4 linked regions of the Mus musculus genome follow. The protein of the gene in region 2 interacts with the protein of the main gene of each other region in a pairwise test. Links are inferred from orthologs where the notes say so. Each region holds a gene or a part of one and is shown on either strand. Other genes may lie near its edges.

Region 1 (3,500 bases), on a different chromosome or scaffold from region 2:
GAATTGAGTTGGGTCTTTTTCAGCAGCCTGGTCTTTGGTTTGGGGTTCGTGTGTGGAAACAGGATCTAATACTACAACTGGCTCAGCTTGGTTTTCACTGCCCACACATTTTCTCCTGTATCCACCTTTACTGGGAGGCCTGTGAGAAGAGAGTTAGATAGAAAAACAACTAAGCAGAAGAAAGAAAACATTTGGATTTCAGGTTCCTGGATTCAGAAAAATGACAACAGAAACGGTCCTAAGTCTAACCGACATGCACAACGCGTGGTCTTTGGGATGCCAGCCATTTGAAAAACAGAAAGCAGCAGCAGATATCCGATTACGTAATAGGAGCAGAAGGCCAGGAGAGAGAAGGCAGACAGAGTCAAAGCGATTAACTACGGAAGTAAAAAAATGCCAACTGCACCTACCTGCTTAATTGCTTGTTCCTCTAGGAAGTGCGCAGCCCCTGGCTCCATCTGCAATCCCAAACACTGCCCACGCTGCCTTTGTCCCACTAGCTCTTGTTCAGCTACAAGGAGCCAGCCTAGACCCCCACTCCCTCTTGCCCCCAGTACAGCTGTTTGCAGCTTAGCTGTGAAGAGGCTGCATAGAGAGAGCTGGGGATCATCTTGGCTCAGTGATGGACAGATGAGAGTGGCAGCCAGCTGTGCCCACCACAGCCATTACCACCCAGGAGGGAGACCTGACCTCAGGAGGTGGGTGGAAAAAAGGGCTGAGGAGAGCCCTCAGGGAATGGGGTCTGACGCACACCAAGTGTCCAGAAACTTCCCTAACCAGAAGAAAGTGGTTCTTGAGAAGTTTCTTTTAGAATTTTGCAAGTGGTTTTCTTTTCCTCAGAAGTTACCTCCCTCCTGATCCAAGAAGCTATTGTTTCTCATGCCAGGCAGGCAACAAAGTTTCCTTGTGGGAACCGAGGTATTCTTCATACTTACACTCTTGCCATGTGTCCCGAGTCTCAGAAGTAATGGTCAGCACCTACCCAGGGAAGGTTTCGGGCTGCTGGGCTTGTCTAGAGGGAATGCAGTAGCTGCAGTGTCAGGGCCACGGCTCTCAAGACTATTCTGGTCTTCCCAACCAATGGCCAATTCCAGGATGAGACTTTCACTCCAGAGAACCAACTGTGAGCCAGGACATGGAAGGCCTACCTGATATGTGACAAAGAGCTACTGCTTAGCACCTGCTCACTGACCTACCTGCCCCGGCCTTTGCCAGGCACTGATTTCCACTGGCCTGCCTTCTTGAGCAGGACAGATCATACGATAGCTCCTCTCACATGCAGTATTTCTCCTTTTCTACCCCCAGCACCCATGTAGATCATGTATACAGTAAACAAATGAACAAATAAATAACATCAGACTAAAGAAGACTCAGAGTGGAAGCCTGGGTGAGAACAGAGCTGGAAGTCTCATCTATACGTGGAAACAGAACAAGCCATCTATTATGGAAGGTGGCCTACGCTCACAAGGCATAAAAGCCTGAATTGGAAAACCACCGTCATAACCGCAAACTCTAACCAAATGCCTGCAAAGACATTCTCCGGCTGACAGGCCATATTAAAAACACGAGGGAAATGGCAGAAGGAAGGAGATCCTTAGGGACGGACATGACAGAGACCATGCTGTTGCTGTCTGTCTACCTTAGCCAATGAAACATTTCTCAAAACACCCGATACTCTGTCCTAGAGGTGGGATGGGGTGTCATTTCCTTGGTAGTACCTGTTTCAACTTTCTCCGGCCCAGGCAACATCTTACAGCTTCTCAGAAAAGCAGAGCCACCTTAGACTCTGGGCAACGGAGGGCACTGTGCGAGTCGGCCATCTCTATGCAAGAAGCTAGGCATTCCGGCAGCTCAAAGGCAAGCTGGCTGCAAACGGGCAGAGACTGAGGACAAACTAGAGATGCATCTTTCTGTGAGAAAGGCCCATCAGGCTGATGTACCGACCCCACAGGACAAGCTGAGCCCTCTCACGCGGAACCTGCACATGCATCTGAGCTGGGAAGCGGGCTGGGAAGCGGGCAAGCTGGAGGAAAAGCTGGGAGGAACCGCAGGACTGATCCACAGGCCAGCCGCTGGCACATGCCCCTCAAGTGGGTCAGCACATCGTGCCCTTCATACGCTATCCCAGATAAGCTACACATGAACTTCCTCAGGGTTCAAAGAAAACATTATTAAAACATCATCATCTCACGCCTGCCTCATACATCTCTCTTGTGGCCAACGAGAACCTGGAAACAAAGCATATGGGGTGTCCCAGGAAGTGAAGCTGCAGCTTGGCTCAGGGTCGGGTCACCAGCTTGCTTGTGCGCCCGCTGCTGTCACCCACCAGCATGTTGGAAGCATGCAAAGCGATGGATCTCACTCTGCCGTTTGGAGTGAGCAACTGCCATCGGTCCATACCAACCTCTGTTGCTCCCTTGGGCTACTGTGGGCGTTTTCATGGCCCCGTGTGTCTGCAGGCGAAGGGTGGTTAACATCTCCTAGCAAAAGCTGTCTTCATCAGCTGGGAATTAGAACTCTCCAGGAACTGCTCTCAGCATCCTATGGCAGCAACACACAGGCTGATTGATCTGAAAACTTAAAAACCTTGGACTGTCTATCTCTCCTCAAGCAAGCCACACTCGTCTGGCAGGCTAACCTGAGAAGTTGCTGGCAGGCTAGCTCCAGGATCTCACAGTTTCCTCCACTGAACTAGGCACGGTGGAGACTAGGCAGGGGGGCACTCCCTTGGAACCCCAGGGCAAGACAGAAGAGAGTAAGAGCGGCCATCTATCCAAACTGCCCTTTTGTAGATGGGGGCAGTTCTGTGTGCAGAGGGGGACAGCCTGGCCTAAGAGTACGCTGCTCCTGAGTGGCAGAGCCAGTGCAGGAGTCTGAGCTGTCTTCTCTTTAGGATTGAGCTATTTTCCAAATATAGCACAGGTGCCACAGCGTAATCTGTGGACATTTCTACTAGTTTATTTCCATTGTTTCTATCTGCAACTTTCAGATCAATGCTGTCTTTCAGAGGACAATGCTCAATGCTCAAGCTTCCTGGTTTGATATCACTAGGTCCTTTCCTAGGTCTCCCGGGGACCTTCTCAAAGCTCCTTTTAGAGCCTGAAGCCTTCTTAGAACATTCCATCTCTATCCCCATGATGCCACTGATGGTAAAGTTGCCAGGAGACAAGCCTCAGAGTATGCCTGTGGAGCAATTATTTAGACTAAGTTAATGAGGGAAGGCCCACCCTGAATGTGGGCAGCACCATTCCCTAGGCTTGTATCCTGGACTGAATATTAGAAAGAGCTGACTTGTAGCATTCACTGTCCTCTGATTCCTGAGTATGGATGCAATGTGCATGGCTGCCTTGACCTTTAGCTATCAGGTTTTCCCTGTCACAGTGGACTAATGCACTGTCACACTATCAGCACAAATTAACCCTCTCCACCTTAAGATGCCTTTGTTAAAGTATTTTTATCATAGCAACAGAAAAGGCAACTAATACATTCCCAATCCCATG
Region 2 (3,808 bases):
CCTACTTAGCTTACACCACCGGCTCATCTGGATTACAAACAGACTACTCAAATGAAACCTCACTTTGGAATATCTACTATAGATCCATAAACTAGTATTCTTAGCTAAATTAAGTCACAAACATGAGCCTCAGCAATTTAATCTTTTACAGAAAGATGGGTGGCAACAAATGTCAGATTTTGAGAAAACTGCACTCAACAACAGCAACCAACAGGACTAATTTTAAAAGGGGGCATGGCTTTGAATCCCTATTTGATCCTAGAAAACCGTCACCAGGTGTTTCCCACTACTACATTAGCTGTTCAAAACCTCCCAAAGTCCTCAGCAGGAGAAACGTTTTACTTTGACACACACAAAAAATTCCCAAATAAAACAGAAGGAAAATATTTCTCAAAACCAACTTACTCTGGCAGCAGATGCAAAAGTATCAGGGCCGTGAGCTGCATTTCTCACGCCATCTGTCCCAAAGAGGGCTCGGATGCTTCCGGGGGCATCTGTCCGTGATAGCCCAGAGTTTGCGGGTCCAAGCAACCTTTTCCACTCACAGATCGCGTCATCTCTTAAGATCTCCATGGCAATAACAGGCCCACTTGTGATAAACTGGATCAGTTCGCTGGGAAGCAGGGGAAAGCCCGAGTTACTTCTCTACTACAATCTAGACACCTGCTAGACTACGAAGACATGTTAGGACATCAGTAAGCTCGAGGACTGGCCTGCTTGGGATCCGTTTCTGGGAAAAGGGGAGTGCCTTACAGAGACTGAGTTTGCTACAAAATCATTACAGAAGATATGACAAGGTCACTTCTGTTTGGAAGGGAAGGAGACACTTGTTGAATTTGGATGATTATGCCAACGTAAAATGCACATGGCTGATCTGATATTCCCCACTACTCTAAGAAGGACAAAGCTGATTCCATTTTAGTTTCCTAACAGTTTACCACAGCAGTCAGGGAGAATGTTATAACAGCAGTGACAAGCATGGTATTTCGTAACATTCTCAAGAAGGACTTAGTTAATTCTGTTGTGTGTAACTACTGCAATGCAGAGAGTGACAACTCTAAGTCAGTGTGATAAAGAAAAAGAATGGCAACAGGCCTTCAAAAACAGGCCTTCGTTAGGAGGAAACCTGCCTGGGTAATGATATCTAAGGGGTGGACCAGACGCACGGCTTTTATTGAAGTTTATGTCTGAGTCCCAGTTCCCTGGAAATGAAAGCTGACGCTTCATTCTCTTTTCCTATTTCTTCATGTGCACGCGATGCAACGATAAATTTAACTCGAAATAAAGTGACGTCCTGCCTCTTACCTTCTAAAGGAGAGGCAAACCAGAGAGAGGACAGGGCCTTCTCAGAGAAAGGAAGGCAGTGTACGGGCCTTCCCATGCCTATTGCCTTAGGGCTGCATGGAATACAAGCTTCTGAGCCCTTCACTAATCTCTGCAGTTCACGTAGTAGAGCATTTCCAAGAAATAGCATGTAAAAGGAAGTATCTACAGCCACAGTGCTAAGAGGACAAGACCTCCTCAAACTTCTGCTAGGCTTTAGCAGCCAAAACCAAAACCAAACAAAAAGAAGAAAAGAGAACGAAGGAAAGAAGGAAAGAAGGAAGGGAGGAAGGGAGGAAGGGAGGAAGGAAGGAAGGAAGGAAGGAAAGGAGGAAGGAAGGAATTTAATTATCAATATTATCCACATGTCAAAATCTAAGCCATAAAATAAGATCCAACCTCAAACAATCTAATCTAGTATCCAATTAACACAGAATTCTCTAATGTGGCATGTGACAACTAAGGGAATGGTGGGCTACTGAGAAGATACTGATCATGACTGACTTCCAGTTTCTCTAGCTAGTCATTTGTTAAGTCTCAGTGCCACAGAACCAGCTAATTTATTCATTGAAACTTTCTGCATATGAATTATATAGACAATATTAAACTAAGAGCTGTAATTTAGTATTATAAAAGCATACAAAGAATCTAAAACAAAGAATAATTGCCAAACAAATGTATATGATAATGCTAACAAAGTTTAGGAACATTTTATAATATATGGTAGTTCACAAGATATGATATACAATAATTTTGTTATAAATATTTCTTTTTTAAAAGTTATTCTTCTATGTATGATATCAAATAAAATGTCTACTGTAGCAGATTGGCTAATATTTCATTGTCTTTATTAGAATTTGTCATTCCTTTGTCCATGACAGTGAGTATGCACATTTCACTTTAATTACATCCAAATTCTTAGAATAGATTTCAGTTTCTAACATATATGATTAGTCATTGCCAATGAAACAAAACACATATCCTTATTTAGTTTTGTGACTACTGCTTTGTCCATACTAGATATAAAAATAAAGGCCTTAAAAGCACAACAAAATTGCCAACATAAAATATAATTACAAGCATGGTCTTTTAATTCAATGAGATATAAAAGAGATGTTTCTTAAAACAAATAGGTCACCCATTTGTTTCTGATTAAAGGTTCAAGTATTGAGTGGTGGATATAAAAAGTCTTATCTATTAAAAGTATAAAGAAAATAATTTTAGTCCCCAAGCTGAGTACCTACTTATAAAAAGGTCTTGAGTGATGGTCTACATGAAAGTCCGCTGCTTCTTTCCTATAAGATAATAAAAATACAAACAGTTAAAATTTATAAAAATATTTTAGCTTATATTCATAAACTAAAATAAAGATTAAAGCACACACACATGATCTATATATAAACTAATTAATGTTCTTTCCACTAAATAGCATATCCCAAGTAATGATCCTACATATGGAAAGATATAAAATTAAAGTAAGAGGATATTTTTACTTTTTTTATTAATGTTACACTTCACCTGTCTTCCATTCTACTAGCATCTCATTCTATTGTTAATACAATGTTAGATATCAGATCAGTAAGAGTGTTTGTTACTTAAAATCTAAACAAGTCACATAAAAAAATGGACAGCTTCTAATTCAAAAATTAGAATTAATTTTAAGCTTTCAAATTTAGGCTCCAGTTTATTTTATTTTTGTCATTTGCTGGGATAAACCTGGGACCTCACCCATGCTAGGAGGGACTCTTCTCTTGAGCGACATCTCAAGCCCTGTAGTTTTTAACTTACTAGTTGTTGCTTAGTTCTTAGCTAGATATATTCAAGGAAAAGATCTACATATTTGTATTTTTAATTGCTTCACAAATTATACATATTAAAATCTACATTTCCACTAAAAGTATCTATAGAGACAATAAAAAGATACTATAATCTAAACTGGTAAGCTTAAAGATCTAATAAAAGCTTTCTTCTCCCCGACCAAAATCCTAACTGTGCAGATTTCTTACTGGATTGAAAAGATTTTATGTTATGTAACAACTATATATAAACACCAACTAATCTTTTAAATGTTAATGTATTTTAAATGTAGAGGGTTTAGCCTGCACGTCTCTTTAGCACATGCATGCAGTACCTGCTGTCTCCAGAGGAGGGTGCCAGATCCCCTAGAGTTACAGATGGTTATCTACCTCCTTGTGGGTACTGGGAACCGAACTGGGCTCCTCTGGAAGAGCAACCAGTGCTTTTCTCTGCTAAGCCATCTCTTCAGCCCTTCAACTATTTTTTAAAATTGCAAATAAACTAAGTGTTCACTAGCAAAAACCCTTTTAAACTTTTAAACCTTTTAGACTTGAAAAATCATTTTGTATACAATACTTTTAAGAGCTTATCCATGGCTAGGGAGGCCATAGACCATTGTGGGAAACCTACTGCTGTTCTTTACCTAAATTGACAGGTGTCAAACTGTCTTCTATGCAACTGTTTGTAC
Region 3 (2,669 bases), on a different chromosome or scaffold from region 2:
AGTGCCAGGTACCATCCCAGGCAGAGAGCTACATACCCCGTACCCCCACCCCAGCCCATGGCCCTGGGACAAGCGGGCCTGACCTTGTAGGGCATCTCCCCTGTGTGAGACACCATGTGCAAGCGCAGCTCCATCCTCCGTCGGAAGGTCTCCTGGCATACGGAGCATGTGAAGACCTGGCAGTGTGAGGGGCAAGCAGGGCCAGCATCAGGGAGGGCCTCTGCCTGCGACGGCAGCCTCTGCAGGGGCTTCCAAACGCTGCTGGTAAGTGTCTGCCTGGGGTAGGGGATGCTGGGGTAGGAGAGGGCAACATGTAACCTGCCTGCCTTGACCATCAGAGCACTGCACACTACCACACGCCAGACCCTTCTTGGCTTCAGACAGGCTAGAGACAGAGCCAGCTGCTACTGGCCAGTCTCTGGGAAGAGGATGACAGGGTTTAGCCAAACACTACCCACTTGGAGGGGCGGGGTGCCGACAAAGTGGCCCTTCCTGGCAGCCATCTCCCACAAATACTTTACTTGCTCCAAAGCATAAGATGGAGCTAGACCAGGAGCCCAGGCAGGCAAACCCAAAATATCCCTTGTGCCCTCTGAACTCATGTGTCCGGCAAGTACTAGGATGCGGACCTGCCAGGCCCCGCAGTTCTTATTTTATAATCCCGTAGGGTTTCCTGAGGATCCTTCCCAGATGGCATGAAGACACAGGCACTGTGCTGCTGCCCACAAATACTTGGACCAATTCCCAAGTACCTGTTCTGAGCGGTTCATGCAATTCCTGGCTTCATGTTCCAAGAGATTCTCCTTGCGGAAGTAACACTTCCCACATTTGGGACACTCGAAGGGTTTCTCCCCAGTGTGTTTCCTGCCAGGAAGAGAGGCCACAGAGGCGTGGGGGCTAAGAGGGTTTCCCAGCTCTCTGATCCTCCAGCTCTTGCCACAGACATGCTGTGCTCATTAGGAGGAAGAAGTGTCCTAAGTCTAGCTGGAGTTAACCATGTAGACTTAGCGACACCCAGCTTGCTCATGTAAGGGAAGGCTAGAAACCCCCTCCAGCTTAGAGAGCCTCAGGAAGAAATAGTAGCCATGGAAAGACAGCCAGGAGGGAGCCAGGAAGAGCCAGCCCTTCATCTGCCAGCCTCCCTAAATGGCTGCCTCAAAACTTCACTGACAAGACCTGGTTGACATCTTCCCCTCTGCGGACCCCACGTTCAACACCATGGCAGGACAGGTGATATGGCTCAATGCTCAGAAGCACTTGCTGCTGAGAAGCCAGAGGACCCAGGTTCAATCCCTGAGACACATGAGGTGAAGAAAACAACTCCCACAAGCTGTACACTGACGTCTGCACGTGACCCTCCCACACTCAGTAAAGAAGTAAATGTGGGACTCCACAACCAGATTCTGTGCGTCCATTTCACAGGTGCCAGCAAGGGCGTGGCTGGAGCAGTTCATGGAGTCCTTGAGTCACCACTGGTTCCTGGCTCCCTACCTATCTCTCCAGGAGGCTCCATTAAGTCCAGACTCTTTGCAGAAAAGGTGGCCCCTTGGGCTCACAACCTGCCAGTGCTTATTTTGTATTGAGAGCCCAGGGGGCAGAGGACATGGGTAGCCAGTGAACCAGCCTGCCCCTCACTGACCTTACCCCATGCCATGCCAACTCCAGGTCAGGCCCTACCACTCACAACAGCCAGCTAGCTCCTCTCCCAGCCAGAAGACTCTCACCAGTGACTGGCTTCCACACATCCTCCAAGTCTCCTAGCCTAGACGGGTGGCAGAGGCCGGCAGTGTAACCTCAGCCACTTGGTCTGGATCTTTCCCCCCTAGCATCCTGGGGACTGAACATGGGGGCCTCACCTGGCAGGCAAACAGATTAAGACTGATCTACAGCCGGGCGTGGTGGCACACGCCTTTAATCCCAGCACTCAGGAGGCAGAGGCAGACGGATTTCTGAGTTCCAGGCCAGCTTGGTCTATAGAATGAGTTCCAGGACAGCCAGGGCTACAGAGAAACCCTGTCTCGGGAAGAAAAAAAAAACAAAAGACTGAGCTACAGCCCATTCCCAGCTGCTCCAAGCTGAGGCAGAAGGATCATCAGCCTAGGCAATTTAGTAAGGCGTGTCTCACTACAAATGGGCTGGGGTATAGCTCAGTGGCAAAGACCCTGGGCTTCAGTCCCTAGCACTGAAGGTCACAAGGGAGGAGGAAGCACCCCACCTTCTTAATAAATAAATAAATACCACTAACCTTATCTATACAGTAGACTCCAATTCCCAGTTCCTCTGCCCCTACTCTCCTACCTCCCTAAACAGGGTGCCACACACTGAAGCCCCAACTGGCCTGGAACTCCCAAAAAGTGCAGGCTCAGGCTGTCTGCTTCATGCTAAAGTACTGCTTCCTTTCCTGCAAGACACAAGGCTTGCTGTACCTGTGCTGCATCCGAGCGCCATGAAGACCTTCATCTTCAAGGGCTACATCATCTCATCCCAAGTGCAGCAGCAGCTGAATAAACCAAACCAACCCTGACCTCAGCGCCATGGGTAGCACTGAGTCTCCTGTATGTCCGTCCAGAAGCCAAACCTACTCTCATCTTCTTCTCTCTAAGAATCCTCGCCCCCGTAGTCCCTGCCACTGCAAGGACCTCATTTTCTATTATTCTTTTGAGACACGG
Region 4 (3,500 bases), on a different chromosome or scaffold from region 2:
TGCTCTAGTCCAAGGAAGCAAACATCAAATTTATCTGTCCATTTTAACTAGTCAGTTCATGTTCAGAGCCATTTTGTGGAGCTCTCCTGCTATACCTCAGAAAAATGGTACCCTAGTTGCTTCCTAAAGGACTTTCCAAGAGGAGTCACTGAAAAGAGATGTTGTGAGAAGCATCCCCAGCTAGCAGACACGTAACTCTCTGAAGCCATGATGTTTTGCTGCGCTGCTGTGCGTATAGTCAGAGCTTCTGGAAGCCTCAGAGTAGGACCACAGCCGGTCTGCAGCTCCCACTCATACCCATGCAAAGGTGAAGCTTGGTGTGAGCAGATGCAACTCAGCTCATGAGTGTGGAAACACAGGCTGAATGTCTGTCAGTCAGCTGAACCCCCTGCTACATGAACCATCTGGTAACTGTAAACACTTCAAGAATATCTAGAAGCTTCTCTTTCTAGACTTCCACCTCTACCCTAAGATTTCTATAGGGATTTTCATTTGCCAACAGAAGACAGTTATTCCCAACAGTCCCACAGAGAAGACTGGGTCCTAGCAAGATGCTAGTGCCCATAAATTGGCCCAAGACAGTGAAAGTGGATTAAGAAATAGAATCCATTGGGGTGTTGAATTGGGACTCACTGTGGTAATTCCAGCCACATGACCCAGGATGGGGACCAGTCACCAGGCGGGGTCACGTTGTGGTTGGAGTCCAGGGCTGCTGGGCTGCAGTCTTCCTGGGCCTCCTGTTCCTTGACTTCCAAGGCTTTGAGTACCACTGAGGAGGGTGCGCTCTTCAGTATGGCAACGGCCTCTGTCCGGCTGACCTCTGTGAGCTCAATCCCATTCACATTCAATAAAATGTCACCTGAGGCCAGAGAAGCAAAAGCAACCTCACTGAGTGCAAATGGGATTCTGCTCCGTGTGACAGGACAGCGGCTGACCGGGCACAGGGGCAGGGTGAGGAGAGGCGCATATCTTCAGCTCATAGAGACACGAGACTGGGTCCCCTTTAGCAGATGGTAGAGCATGTGGGAATGGCTTGTTGGGAGTCTCTAACAATGGCCTAGTGACGTTCATCTGTTGCCTGACTTAAATAGCTTCCTTGACTACTTAACCAAAGACAAGCTGCAATCTCACTCTTTTAGTTTCCTAGTTTCTTGAGCACACAATGAGAGCAGTTGGCATAAGGCTCCAGTGCCCGCAGAGAGCCTGCTATGTACAAACAGGGACCGAAGCAGGAGTTAGTGTCTGGCACAGGAGCCCAGGGCAGATAAAGAATGGCCCTGAACCTGAGCTTTCACAGAGGTGTATAGTTATCATTTCTAGTCAAGACATCTCTGTGTGTCGCATTAGCTAAGCACCTACTCTGTGCAAAACTGCTTCTATATGTGACATGCTACAATGTCACTTCTTGTCAGAGCTTATTCTTCACCCCGGGTGCTTGCTGAGCAGCAGGAGAATTTAAGATGGATCTCCCTGCCCTCGATGGCTTGTCTTTCAACTATCTCTCGGGTTTTTGTTGTTGTTGTTATTTGTTTTTTTGTCTTGCTTCTTATATATCATCTTTTTTCACACAGAATAATTGTAGTCAGGAGGAAAATGACAAGGGGTATCCTCAAATGCTTGCTGACTTAAGACAAAAGAAAAAAGAAAAAAAAAAACCACCTTTGATTGTCTGCCTAAATCCTATATATACTATGCCACACTCAAGTGCATGTATTTGAGAGACTTTTTTCTGTCTTAAATCTGAGCCCTTCAAAAGCACAACTGTTCCTTTACCTAGGTGACCTCTTCATGTGCTTGAACAGCGTTATTGAGAACACGTACTCACAAGGTAAACTGGGTACTTTCCTTTATGTAGAGGAGCCCAGAACATGAGTGGCTAAGAGAGGTCCATTTCTCACCAAGGAACAAAGTCCCACTAATGATATTTAACTATACCATTGAATCAAGATCTCTCAATAGATTCACCCCATTTAGCCCCACCAAATGGTACAATCCACAGAATCCTTAGGGCTGTTAGATTGCGTGGAACTAAATTGTGCCTTAGCGGCACCTTGTTCATGGGTGTAGTGGCTGTCTGCTCAGCCTGGAAAGTCCAGGGACTCTAGCTTCCCTAGCAAAGCTGCCTCATGCCTACTTCCATGCACTAAGAGGGGTGAGCCTAGACTACTGCTACACTCGTGCTCATCCTGCTCAAAGGGACACAGCAGTCATGGCCAGTTCCCTCTGACATGCTCTCCTTGACTCTGGGAGAGCAATTAAGGAACTCAACAGCGAGCTCCTAGCTCCGCCCCAGGCTCTGCCACCCCAGCGCCTTTATTCTCTTGAGTTTGTACCTGTTTTTATTCTCCCGTCTCTGCTTATGACTCCGCCGGGTTCAACACTGATGACATAGATGGGCAAGTCCCATTCCCTGTGGGATGCTCCCCCTCCGACGGTCATGCCGAGAGACTCGCTGGGGTCTTTCCAGACACTTACAACCTTCTCATGACAGGTGGCTGCAGGCTGAAGGCACAGACACAAAGAACATGGCACATACACTCACACGGCCTCTCTGAGAGTGCGCACGTTTTCCCATTCGCATCAAGAGAGTTACAGCACCTCAAATTCCAGCATCACAAATACAGCATCGCAAATTCCAAGGCTTGACTCCGAGAAGTTTACATTGCAGAACGGAATACTAACCGTACAGAGGCAACAGCCTGGGGACCATGGTAGAAATCTGGATCTTATAAATTTGGACTGGATCTCAAATCTCTCAAGGAAGTCAGCCATTTCTGACAACAGTAGGCCAACTTCTCAGAACACTCACTGTACATGAATATCAGTATGTCTTTCATATTTAAAATCATATTGATTAATGGAATGTGTGGAAGTTTGAGGGGCACATGCTAGAACATACATATGGAGGTCAGAGGACAACTTACAGAAGCTGGCTCTCTGACTCCACCCTGTGAGTCCCAGGGATCAAACCCATTCTGGTAGGCTTGACAGCAAGCGCCTTTACCCACTGAGCAATTTTGCCAGCCTGGCAAAAGCTTGTCTAGGTTTAAAATTTTTCTTACATCATGGACCTCGGGTGATGGCTTGTTGGCTGTAGTGCTTCCTGCACAGGTCTGAGGACCACTGTTCAGATCTTGTAGCACTCATAGAAAAGCTAACCATATAAAATGGTGGCTCATGTGTAATCCAGAGTTCAGAGATCCAACGGAGAGAGATGGCTAGTTAAGACTCGGCAATTAGGCAAGCTCAGCTTTGGCGTGAAGCAATCTCAGTAAATAGGATAGAGAGCAACCAAGAAAAATACCTGATGTCATGCTCTGCCTTCTACATGCACACGCTCACACATGCGCATGCATTCACGTGTCTGTAAATACACATATGCACGTGCATGCAAACCATACACAGATGCAAAAATTTGGCCTATCTTATACATCTTCCCTATTTTTGGTGCATTCCAAACAGCTGAACCAAGTAGCTGAGCACCAGGACTGCACTTGTCC

The links. The genes of interacting proteins can lie anywhere in the genome.
Region 1: the proteins of Nme7 (region 2) and Shtn1 interact in binary tests that used the Homo sapiens proteins (3 or more experiments, as listed by UniProt). The two-hybrid records come from large-scale screens. The link is inferred for Mus musculus from reciprocal best matches to the Homo sapiens genes NME7 and SHTN1.
Region 3: the proteins of Nme7 (region 2) and Zbtb48 interact in binary tests that used the Homo sapiens proteins (3 or more experiments, as listed by UniProt). The two-hybrid records come from large-scale screens. The link is inferred for Mus musculus from reciprocal best matches to the Homo sapiens genes NME7 and ZBTB48.
Region 4: the proteins of Nme7 (region 2) and Lnx1 interact in binary tests that used the Homo sapiens proteins (3 or more experiments, as listed by UniProt). The link is inferred for Mus musculus from reciprocal best matches to the Homo sapiens genes NME7 and LNX1.

Annotation. Positions count from the first base shown.
Region 1 is NC_000085.6:58,975,070-58,978,569, forward strand, and holds part of Shtn1 (shootin-1), read right to left. Parts: intron 2,542-3,500; exon of another isoform or gene 2,405-2,541; intron 140-2,404; coding exon 1-139. UniProt on the Homo sapiens protein: Involved in the generation of internal asymmetric signals required for neuronal polarization and neurite outgrowth.
Region 2 is NC_000067.6:164,342,024-164,345,831, reverse strand, and holds part of Nme7 (nucleoside diphosphate kinase 7), read right to left. Parts: intron 2,619-3,808; coding exon 2,568-2,618; intron 614-2,567; coding exon 406-613; intron 1-405. UniProt on the Homo sapiens protein: Possesses an intrinsic kinase activity. Displays 3'-5' exonuclease activity with a preference for single-stranded DNA. Does not seem to have nucleoside diphosphate kinase activity.
Region 3 is NC_000070.6:152,021,944-152,024,612, forward strand, and holds part of Zbtb48 (telomere zinc finger-associated protein), read right to left. Parts: intron 865-2,669; coding exon 753-864; intron 292-752; exon of another isoform or gene 177-291; coding exon 84-176; intron 1-83. UniProt on the Homo sapiens protein: Plays a critical role in transcriptional regulation and chromatin remodeling. Acts as a regulator of telomere length. Directly binds the telomeric double-stranded 5'-TTAGGG-3' repeat.
Region 4 is NC_000071.6:74,605,404-74,608,903, forward strand, and holds part of Lnx1 (E3 ubiquitin-protein ligase LNX), read right to left. Parts: exon of another isoform or gene 2,503-3,500; coding exon 2,334-2,502; intron 860-2,333; coding exon 634-859; intron 1-633.